Macaca mulatta: one gene and its partner. The protein of the gene in region 1 interacts with the protein of each later gene in a pairwise test. Links are inferred from orthologs where the notes say so. Each region holds a gene or a part of one and is shown in the gene's direction. Other genes may lie near its edges.

Region 1 (4,745 bases):
CCCTCCTGGAGTGACTTCAGATGAGGTTTCCTGTTATTTATTTCCCTTATCAGGTTACCCAGGCAGGGTGGTCCCAGCTACTGGGGAGGCTGAGGTGGGAGAATCACTTGAACCCAGGAGTTGGAGGCTTCAGCGAGCCACAATTACGTCATTTCACTCCAGCCTGGGCCACAGAGCGAGACCTCATCTCTCTTTATTTATTTAGTTTTTGAGATAGAGTTTTGCTCTTGTCGCCCAGGCTGGAGTGCGATAGTACAGTCTTAGCTCACTGCAGCCTCCGCCTCCCGGATTCAAGCAATTCTTCTGCCTCAGCCTCCCAAGTAGCCGGGATTAAAGGCGTCTGCCACCGTGCCCAAATGTTTATTTATTTATTTATTTATTTAGAGACGGAGTGTTGCTCTGTTGCCCAGGCTGGAGTGCAGTGGCACAATCTCGGCTCACTGCAACCTCCGCCTCCCAAGTTCAAGCGATTCTCCTGTCTTAGCCTCCTGAGTAGCTGGGATTACAGGGGTCTGCCACCATGCCAAGCTAATTTTTGTATATTTAGTAGAGACAGAGTTTCACCATGTTGGCCAGGCTGGTCTTGAACTCCTGACTTCAAGTGATCCACCCGTCTCGGCCTCCCAAAGTTCTGGGATTACAGGCGTGAGCTACCACACCTGGCCCCTAAATTTTATTTTTAGAGATGAGGTTCGAGACCAGCCTGGCCAACATAGTGAAACCCCGTCTCTACTAAAAATACAAACAGTAGCCAGGTCTGGTGGCATATGTCTGTAATGCCAACTACTTGAAAGGCTGAGGCAGGAGAATCGCTTGAACCTGGGAGGCAGAAGTTGCTGTCAGCCAAGATCGTGCCACTGTACCCCAGCCTGGGTGGCAGAGTGAGACTCTGTCTCAAAAAAAAAAAAAAATTTTTTTTTTTAAATTAAATAAGATATTTCCCTTATCAGAGTGTAATTTCGCTCTTATTGGGGTATGGAACCAGACGGGGGTCTCTGAGAGCACAGCAGCTGCCACTGTCTGGGCAGCTTCAATGTCCAGTGAGGGCCAAGCACGGACTTGGCCCAGGTTAATGTCACTTTGTTGTCTTCTCTCTCCCTTAGGGCCTTCCTGCTGTCCCTGGTGGCACCAGTGGCATTGATGGTGGCCAGGTGGGCAGGGCCTGGGACCCAGAGAAGTTAGCCCAGGAACTGGCAGCATCGCTCACCAGGTGTGTGGCTGGGTGGGGATGGGCAGCCTATGTGACAGCCCCCGGGGGGGCTGTCTGCAGCAGAAGCTAAGGTGTACCCCTGTGTACAGGTGTGTTTACATGACAATACTGTGGGCAGGTGGGTAGGAGGAGACGTGGGAAATAGGATGGGCTAGGGCTGTGAGCCCTCCTCTTCCCCTTCGCAACAGGACGCTGGACCTGCGGGAGCAGCTGCAGTCTCTGCGCAGGGAGCTGGAACGGGTGGCTCAGAAGGGGCGAGCCAGACGGTCTCAGAGTGCCGAGCTGAACAGGGATTTATGCAAAGCCCACAGGTGGGACCCCTGTTCTGCATCCCTCCAATCCCCCTGGCACCATCCCCCACCAGGATCTCAGAAGTATCCCTGGCTCTCTCTGGGCCTTAGCCTTCCCCGCTGCCCCAAAATAGGCAATAAAGGCCAGGCACAGTGGCTCATACCTGTAATCCCATGTTGGGAGGCTGAGGCTGGCAGATCACCTGAGGTCAGGAGTTTGAGACCAGCCTGGCCAATGTGGTGAAACCCCATCTCTACTAAAAGTACAAAAATTAGCTGGGCATCTTGGCACATGCCTGTAATTCCAGCTACTTGGAAGAAAGGAGAATTGCTTAAACCCAGGAGTTGGAGGTAGCCGTGAGCAGAGATCACACCACTGCACTCCAGCTTGAGCGACAGAGCAAGACTCTGTCTCAAAAAAAGAAACAACAGGCTGGGCCAGGCACAGTGGCTCATGCCTGAAATCCCAGCACTTTGGGAGGCCAAGGCGGGCAGATCACCTGAGGCCGGGAGTTCGAGACCAGCCTGACCAACATGGAGAAACCCCATCTCTACTAAAAATACAAAATTAGCCAGGCGTGGTGGCGCATGCCTGTAATCCCAGCTACTTGGTAGGCTGAGGCAGGAGAATCGCTTAAACCCGGGAGACAGAGGTTGCAGTGAGCCAAGATCAGGCCATTGCACTCCAGCCTGGGCAACAAGAGCAAAACTCCATCTCAAAAAAACAACAACAGGCCGGGCGCGGTGGCTCAAGCCTGTAATCCCAGCACTTTGGGAGGCCGAGACGGGCGGATCACAAGGTCAGGAGATCGAGACCATCCTGGCTAACACGGAGAAACCCCGTCTCTACTAAAAAAATACAAAAAACTAGCCGGGCGAGGTGGCGGGCGCCTGTAGTCCCAGCTACTCGGGAGGCTGAGGCAGGAGAATGGCGCAAACCCGGGAGGCGGAGCTTGCAGTGAGCTGAGATCCAGCCACTGCACTCCAGCCTGGGCGACAGAGCCAGACTCCGTCTCAAAAAAAAAAAAAAAAAAAAAAAAAAAAAAAAAAAAAAACAACAACAAGAAAAAACAGGCTGGGCACAGTGGCTCACACTTGTAATCCCAGCACTTTGGGAGGCCAAGGCAGGCGGATCACCTGAGGTCAGGAGTTCAAGACCAGCCTAGGCAACATGGTGAAACCCTGTCTCTATTAAAAAATACAAAAAAATTAGCTGGGCATGGTGGCGGGTACCTGTAATCCCAGCTACTTGGGAGGCTGAGGCAGGAGCACTGCTTGAACCCAGGAGGCAGAGGTTGTAGTGAGGGGAGATCTTACCATTGCACTCCAGCCTGGGCGACAAGAGCGAAATTCTGTCTCAAACAACAACAACAACAACAAAAAGACCAGTTAGCTGGGACCCTGGGAGACCCAATGTGAAAAAGCCCCCATTCTGGGAGTGGGAGTACATGGCCCCTGCCTTGGGTGGAGTCGGGGGCTATTTCTTGACCCAGCCCACCCACCCCTTCCAGCGCCCTGGTCCTGGCCTTGCGAGGAGCCCACCGGAAGCAGGAAGAGCAATGCCGGAAGTTGGAGCAGCAGATGGCACTCATGGAGGCTCAGCAGGCTGAGGAGGTGGCGGTGCTCGAAGCCACTGCAAGGGCCCTGGGGAAACCCAGGCCGCCCCCCCCGCCTCCCCAGCTTGGGGATACCGTTCTGTAGGCCCCTTACCCAGCCATGTCTGGACATGCCAGACCGCTGTGGCATGTCATAAACTATCCTGGAGTGACATCATGTCATGTTGCATGATTTGGCATGTTGGGGCACATTTGGCATGAGGGAAGCTGGTGCACATGGGTGTCCAGGGCCTGATGGGTGTGGCCACGCAATGCAGAAAGACTTGGGTGTCTTTGGCCTGGCACCAAGTGGAATGTGAACTTCACATCAGTGGGGTCAGGCCAGAAGCAACCTGGGCTGTGGGACCAGGTCTCTGGGACTGACGAATTTTGGAGGTCCGTGAGGTTGCATAGCCACAGCTGAAGTTCCAACTGGCCTGTCTCCTGAAGCCCAGGGAGGGATTCATGGGGACTGGACAAAGCTTCTCCTGGCAGCTCCTTCCCAAGGAGATGCTGGGTTTGGCTGGCAGATTTTCCTGAAGGGGGCCGGGCGCAGTGGTGCACGCCTATAATCCCAGCACTTTGGGAGGCCAACGTGGGTGGATCACTAGAGCCCAGGAGTTCAAGACCAGCCTGGACAACGTGGTAAAACCCCATGTCTACAAAAAAAAAAAAATACAAAAATTAGCCAGGCATGGTGGCATGTGCCTGTAAAGCTATCTAGGAGGCTAAAGTGGGAGGATCACTTGAGCTTGAGAAGCAGAGGTTGCAGTGAGCTGAGATCACACCACTGCACTCCAGTCTGGGTGACAGAGTAAGACCCTGTCTCAAAAAAACAAAACAGGCTGGGTGTGGTGACTCACGCCTGTAATCCCAGCACTTTGGGAGGCTGAGGCGGGGAGGATCACCTGAGGTCAGGAGATTGAGACTAGCTTGGCCAACATGGCAAAACCCCTGTCTCTACTAAAAATACAAAAATTAGCTGGGTGTGGTGGTGCATGCCTGTAGTCCCAGCTACTCAAGGAGGCTGAGGCAGGATAATTGCTTGAACCCGGGAGGCAGACATTGCAGTGAGCTGAGATCACGCCACTGCACTCCAGTCTGGGTGACAGAATAGGACCTTGTCTCAAAAACACAAAACAGGCCGGGTGCGGTGGCTCACACCTGTAATCCCAGCACTTTTGGAAGCTGAGGCGGGCAGATCATGAGGTCAGGAGATGGAGACCATCCTGGCTAACACGGTGAAACCCCGTCTCTACTAAAAATACACAAAATTAGCCGGGCGCAGTGGCAGGCACCTGTAGTCCCAGCTACTCAGGAGGCTGAGGCAGGAGAATGGCATGAACCCAGGAAGCAGAGCTTGCAGTGAGCCGAGATCGTGCCACTGCACTCCAGCCTGGGTGACAGAGCGAGACTCCGTCTCAAAAAAAAAAAAAACAGGGCCAGGCACAGTGGCTCACGCCTGTAATCCCAGCATTTTGGGAGGCCAAGGCGGGTGAAGGCGGGTGGATCACAAGGTCAAAAGATAAAGTCCAACATAGTTAAACCCCATCTGTACTAAAAATACAAAAATTAGCTGGTCGTGGTGGTGCATGCCTGTAATCCCAGCTACTTGGGAGGCTGGGGCAGGAGAATCACTTGAACCAGGGA
Region 2 (6,456 bases), on another chromosome or scaffold:
AGATTTTGAGATGCCCTGCTTTGGGGAAGGGATAAGTAAATTCTGTTGTAGGAGAGATCCTCGCATTTTGTTGGATGGCAGCATTTTCATTTACCTTTGAAAGCACTTCTGTGAACGCTGGGCAGCCTAAGAGACGGCCTATAGTGGAGCAACTTTTGGCAACCCAGCATCTCATTCTTCTCATTTGAGGGGAGGCCCCCACACACTGAGTCTTGCTATGAGGCTAGGCCTCCCTGACTAGAAGCCACAGGAGAAACCAGAACTCTATTTGCCTATTAGCAATTGGAACGCAGGCACATAACCTAGACTAGGCCTAGTAAATGGTCCTTCCCAAAACTTGAATCTTGAGCGAGAAGAGTTGAAAAATAATTCATGTCACCACCAAAGGAGCTGGCATGCACCCTAATCAGAGTACCAAAGCAGGATGGCTTAGCTGGTTCCTAATATTTCCAGACCTGGTTCTCCAGCATTGCTGGTGCAAGGAGTATAACTACAGACAGCTCCAGGCCTATTTTTCCCATGCTCAGAAACACCAGAGGAAAGAGCCTCTTTCTCCCACCCTCATTCTCTAAAATCCCTGACAAGGGCTCAGATCATCTTAGGTTTGGTCATGTGCACATCCCTGGGGAAATCTGAGAACAAGAGGAGGGAGACTATAGTTGGCCAAGCCTGGGCTCCACACCTCCCCTTCTCCACACCCATCCTGCCTCGAGAGGCCAGAGAAGTGTGGTGCTAAAGAACCATCTGATCCAGGGGACTGCAGACAATTCCCCAAAGGAAAGTTTTCCCATCAGGCAAAAACAAAAGCTGCTCACAACACAAAATTACAGAACGTCAGAACCAAAAGGAACCTTGGGAATCCTTCATCCTATCCCCTCTCTTATAGATTGGGAAACCATAAGGATATGTATGCCTGTTTGGACTTTGTACAGTTCTCTGTTCAGCAGGGGTGACTTGGCTGTGGGATTAGGTGACTCCACTGGAGGTCTTCTGTGTATAGAAAAGATCTAGGGTCACAAACACCAATCCCTTCGGGTAGACAGCAAATGTGTGAAGGCTGGCGGTTACTTAATGGACCAGTGGTGTTGGTGGGATTCAAATTCTTATTAAAAAAACAAAAGCAAACAAACAAAGAAAACCTATGTGATGCCCAAATAAAACCATCTGTGGGCTAGATGCTGCTGTTGTCAAAAGTTTGTGACCCGTGGGTTAGACAAAACCTCTGAGCTGTCCTGACAGGTCTGGGAAAACCAAACAAGTCCTTGTCTCCTAAACTACCTGGGACTCAAGAGCTCTGCAGGAAAAAATTTGTACCCTGCACCCAGCTGGGGTTGACATTTACAGACACCTGTTTTATGAATTGAGGAGATATTCAGCAGAAGCCAGATTGTTGAAAGTGCTGCTGAGAGAAAACCATCAGAAGGGAGGACTCCTTCCCCACGCCAGCTAGGTGGTAGTTCCTCTATGCCTCCGGATTCTGCTGAGCAGTAAAAGCTAAAGGGCAGTGTCATTAAGCTCCTAGGGGACGGGATGGAGTGGCTCACGCCTGTAATTCCAGCACTCTGGGAGGCCGAGGCGGGAGGACAGTCTGAGTCCAGTTCAAGCCCAGCCTTGGCAACACAGCAAGATCCCATCTCTGCAAAATAGACAGATAGATAGTTAGAGATATATGAAAGCTCCTAGGTCTCATGCTGGCGGGTGACAGAGTGTGCACCCTGGCCTCCCACAAGCTGCCTCCCACTTCCCTCTGACTCCATCACCAATTTCCCATCAGAGCAGGCAGCTCGGAGTCGCTAAGCAGCTCCCAGTTCATTTTCCACACCCTTCCCATTCTCTGCGAGCCAGAGCTCCACCTCCCCCCGAAGCTGGCCTCAATCACCCGGCCTGGGGAGCTCCCCTCGGCACTGGCTCCCCGCCTCGCCCCACAGCACCTGTTCGGGCCTCGGTCGCGCCGCCGGGTCTCGCAGATGCGAATGTAAACAGAAACACAGCGAAAGGAGGTGGGACCACCTCGTGGCGCGGCGCGTAGAAACATCAGTACGTCCAGAGCAAAATGAACGAATGTACGCATGACTCCTGGCGCGACCTTCATGCGGGAAAGCGCGTCCCCCGGCACCCACCCTTAAGCGCCCCAGAATGACCCGCCCTTGCACAACCCGGCTCTCAGGCGAAGCTGAGGTCGGAGCTCCAAAAACGAGGGACGACAGCAGCTGAAGAAGTCCCGGCTTCCCATAGGCCAAGACGAAGTAGGGGGCGGGCTCATCTTGCAGAAGCGTCCACGTATTGGTCGAGCCCCGGCTGAGGGTTGAGATTGGCTGCGCAACACTGCCGAACGCTCTCTCGCGGAGGGAGAAGGGGCGGGAAGAAGGGTGTGCTCACCGCGTCCGAAGGGCGTGGTTGGCGCTCGGTCCCGCCCTTCGCGTTTCGGGCTGCGGTTGGAGGGCCGCGGTTGCAGTCAGGGCCCCCAGCTTGGGGCCACCGCATGGGGCTGCTGAGGCCGTTCCGGATGTGCGAAGCGTTCGCGGTGCGGTAGGTAGGCAGCGTCCCGCGCTCTGGTGCTGGTGTCCGGGGTGCCCGCGGCACTGGGGGCGGTGGCCGGGGCTAGATCCGCGCGCGCAGCCCGGCCCCCTCCGCCCCTTCCCTTCGGTGCCTGCGGGGCCCTTGCGGTGCGGGCCGTCTGGCCTCGCGTCCCCGCCGGCAAGGGCACAAAGGCTCCCTGGGGGCGGGGGCGCCTCGTGCCTTCGCCTCCATTTTGCGGGCGGAACAGCGTGTGTTGTGGCGGCCGAGGGGTCGGGGCCGAGGCGGGCGGCTGGGCTTGGGAGTGCCCGGGCGCGGCGAGGGAGCGCGCGAGTCCGCGCATCTGGTGGCGGAGCAGCTGCGCTGCTGGTGGTCCTGGGCCCCTGGGGAGGTCACTTTCCCTCAGGCCTCTGCCGAGCGTGGGCTGTTTACCCAGCTACCCAGTCGGGACTAGTGCAGCGCGGGCCTTTCCCTCTCGAAAGATGGAGACCAGTGATGTCTTCTTATCACCGTGGATGCTGCAGCGCCCAGATGCGGAGCGAAAAAATCTAGATGTCTCTTTTTTTTTTTGCCTCGGAGAGCTACCCTTTCTAACTGTCATCACTAGAACAGTTCTCAGCAGCCTGGGGACGAATGTCCAAAACCTGTTCCAGCCCTTGATGATTAGTAGTTTGGGTTTAGTGTATTGTTTGTAACAAAAATGAGCGGAAACCTGCCAGGGCAGATTGGACCTCCCTGGGAATTCATCAGGACCACGAAGGGAGGTAGCATTTGTAAATAATCTAACAGTCCTCAGATCTAGGGTATGGAGAATGTTGTGTTAAAGTGCGTGACAAAGGGTGTTGAGTCAGTTTGCTTTGGGTTTAGTTGAAAGATCTAGAAGTCACCACTTTTTACTTTGTTCACTCCATTCCCCTTTCCCACCCTCTGTTGAGTCAATTCTGGCCCACTTAGAAAACAAAACAACAACAACAAAAAAAAACAAGGAATTCAGTTTAAGCTCTTTTGCAAAGCTTTCGAAGGCACTTACTCACCCTGCGACTGATAACTCCTCCCTGTTCAGGGCTACCTTCTCCGACCTCTATTTTTACACATCACACTGTATTGCGGTTTCCCCAGCCCCTAGCACAATGCTTGGAACATAAAAGGCACTCAATGATGGAAGGAAGCCAAAAGGAAACAAAGTCAGCATGGTAGCCCAAAGGTGACACAACAGAAATATTTATTTAACTTCTTGAGCCAGTTATTCTTACAGGTTAGGAAGGCAGCTAAGCTCAGGCTTTCTAAGTCAAACAGACTTTAGCTCTGCCATGTTACTAACTCTGATTAAGTTTGTTTGTTTGTTTGTTTGTTTTAATGGTGATGGGGTTCTTGCCATGTTGTCCAGGCTGGTCTTAAACTCCTAGGCTCAAGCAATCCTCCTGCCTCTGCCTCCCAGAGTGCTGGGATTACAGGCATGTCATTAAGTTATTTAACTTCTCTGTGTCTTGGTTTCCTCATCCTGAAAATGGGAATAGTAATAGTACCTATGTGATGGGTTATGAGGATTAAATAAGATATTAATGTAAAGTGCCTACCATAGTTCCTGGCACAAAGAAAATGATCTGTAGCTGTTAGCTGTTAGCAGTTGTTAGGAGAAAAATAAATGGATACTTGAATACACTCACTAATATGAAATATCTGTATAGTACTTGACCTTTCAGGATCTCTCTGCTTTTTGGTCCTTATCCGATCCCTTTTTTTGAGACAGGGTCTGACTCCATCACCCAGGCTGGAGTGCAGTGTCATGATCTCAACTCACTGTGACCTCAGCCTCCTGGAGTCAAGAGTCCCTCTCACCTCAGCCTCCCAAGTAGCTGGGATCACAGGTGCACATCACCACGCCCAGCTAATTTTCTATTTTGTTGTAGAGATGATGTCTCTCTATATTGCCCAGGCTGGTTTGAACTCCTGGGCTCAAGCGATTACAGGCATGAGCCACGGTGCCTGGCCCGTTATCTGATGGCGGATTTTTTTCTTTTTTTGAGAGGGAGTTTCACTCTTCTTGGCCAGGCTAGAGTGCGGTGGCACAATCTCAGCTCACTGCAACCTCCTCCTCCCGAGTTCGAGCAGTTCTCCTGCCTCAGCCTGCCAAGTAGCTGGGGTTACAGGCGCCCACCACCATGTCCCGCTAATTTTTGTATTTTTTGTAGAGACAGGGTTTCGCCATGTTGACCAGCCTGGTCTTGAACCCCTGACCTCAGGTGATCCGCCCACCTCAGCCGCCCAAAGTGCTGGAATTACAGGCATGAGCCACCGTGCCCAGCCTGATGGCTGATTTTTAAACATCTCTTTAGCCTTTGCTGATTCTCTTTCCACAGTGAAAGTATTCCATAGAATATTATCTGTTTATGTGTCTGGAGTCTCACCACCAGCTAAAGATTGATTCGGTGCCAAATAGCAGTTTGGCCAAGAGTTACAGTTGTACCTGATACACTCTTAATGGGGTCTGGTACCTGAAATGGTCATGTAAAATCAGAGGAGCCAAATAGATTGGGGCCTCGTATGGCTGACAGAAAATCTTTACATGGTTGATCCATCCAGATAGAAGCAGAGCTTATGGAGGTGGACTCTCCTTATAACTTAAATTTGTTCTCATGAAGAAACTACTGTCTTTAATGTTGTTCACAAACATTGTGAAAAGCCCAAGAAGTGTTCCTGTTGGCTTTAGACCTGTCTGCCAGCTAGAGGTGTCAGATACAACCCTTGGGGGACACTGCGTCACTTCCAGGTTTTCCTGTACCACTTTCTGGTTACAGGAAACAGGTTAAGTTGCACATTTCCTTGTAGCTGTAAGCTCCCTTGGCATACCAGTTTATCTTAAATTATTTCCAGTTTCCAGAACAAATACCTTTCCCCTTCTCACCTGTAACTGGCACAGGAGAATTTCAGGTCTGTGATTCTGTTTTTAACATAGCCACCGTGAATCTCAAATTCTTTCTAGGGAATATTATTATTTCTGAGGACTCCCTTCCAGCTGTGGTATTCTATAATTAGCCATTAAAAACCTGCCACAAGGTGTAAGCCTTTTCTAATGTCCTTTTGCAGAGGCCTTGAAGACAAGGACCGTAAATTTTCTTGTGTGTAACTGGCATATAGGCACCCAAGGAATGGTTTTAAAGCTATTTTAGTTGTTCCTTCTCAGGGTGCTGAAACAGCCTTACTTACCAACCCAGTGCTTCTGAAACATTGTGCTTACCAAGTTATCTGGAGATACTGCTAAGCTGCAGGTTCTCATTCCAAGGTTCTGGGGTAGGACCTGAGAATCTGCATTCCCTACAAGCTCTGAGGTAATGCAGATGCTGTTGGTGCTGGATCACACTTTGATAGTGAAGTACTAACCCGAGTATCTACATTTGCTTTGTAGAAGTATTGGGTAAATGGGTTTTATTTTCTTATGGTATTGGAATAAAATCTTGGCTTTAGGAGCTTTTTTCTATTTTTTGTTTTAACAATTTATCTTGTTCAAAAAAAAACTATTCGAGGAATTGTTCCAAGATACTTTGATATAACAGGATTTTTAATAAAAGCAATTGAGGCACATGGAGTGAAAAAAAAAAAATAGGAGAAAGTCAAGGGAGAGATTAGCACAAAAAGGCAAGTACCTCTCTGTCCTGTGCATTTTACTCAAGTGAGATTGTGTATTTGGCCCTGAGCTTTGTAGCAGCCAAAGCAGAGGGAAATTTTTTTTTATCAGTTTTGCCAGTACTTACAAAGTGAAAATGTCTGCTGAGTGGAGACAGCTGTTTCTGTTATTGAGGCCAGAGAATTCTCCCATGGGTTCTCCAAAGAGAATGCTATGGTACAGTGAGTGGCATTCTAAATAGTATCTCTTGAGAGAATCGGTAAGATTCTTCTCAGTCTTCATACATGTAGCCTGATGACCTCACAAAAAAAGTG

Evidence for each region.
Region 2: the proteins of USHBP1 (region 1) and CEP68 interact in binary tests that used the Homo sapiens proteins (3 or more experiments, as listed by UniProt). The two-hybrid records come from large-scale screens. The link is inferred for Macaca mulatta from reciprocal best matches to the Homo sapiens genes USHBP1 and CEP68.

The regions. Positions count from the first base shown.
Region 1 is NC_133424.1:17,735,862-17,740,606, reverse strand, and holds the end of USHBP1 (harmonin-binding protein USHBP1), read left to right. Parts: intron 1-1,103; coding exon 1,104-1,210; intron 1,211-1,398; coding exon 1,399-1,521; intron 1,522-3,011; coding exon 3,012-3,201; 3' UTR 3,202-3,273; downstream 3,274-4,745.
Region 2 is NC_133418.1:59,657,660-59,664,115, reverse strand, and holds the start of CEP68 (centrosomal protein of 68 kDa), read left to right. Parts: upstream 1-2,415; 5' UTR 2,416-2,529; exon of another isoform or gene 2,530-2,533; intron 2,534-6,456. UniProt on the Homo sapiens protein: Involved in maintenance of centrosome cohesion, probably as part of a linker structure which prevents centrosome splitting. Required for localization of CDK5RAP2 to the centrosome during interphase. Contributes to CROCC/rootletin filament formation.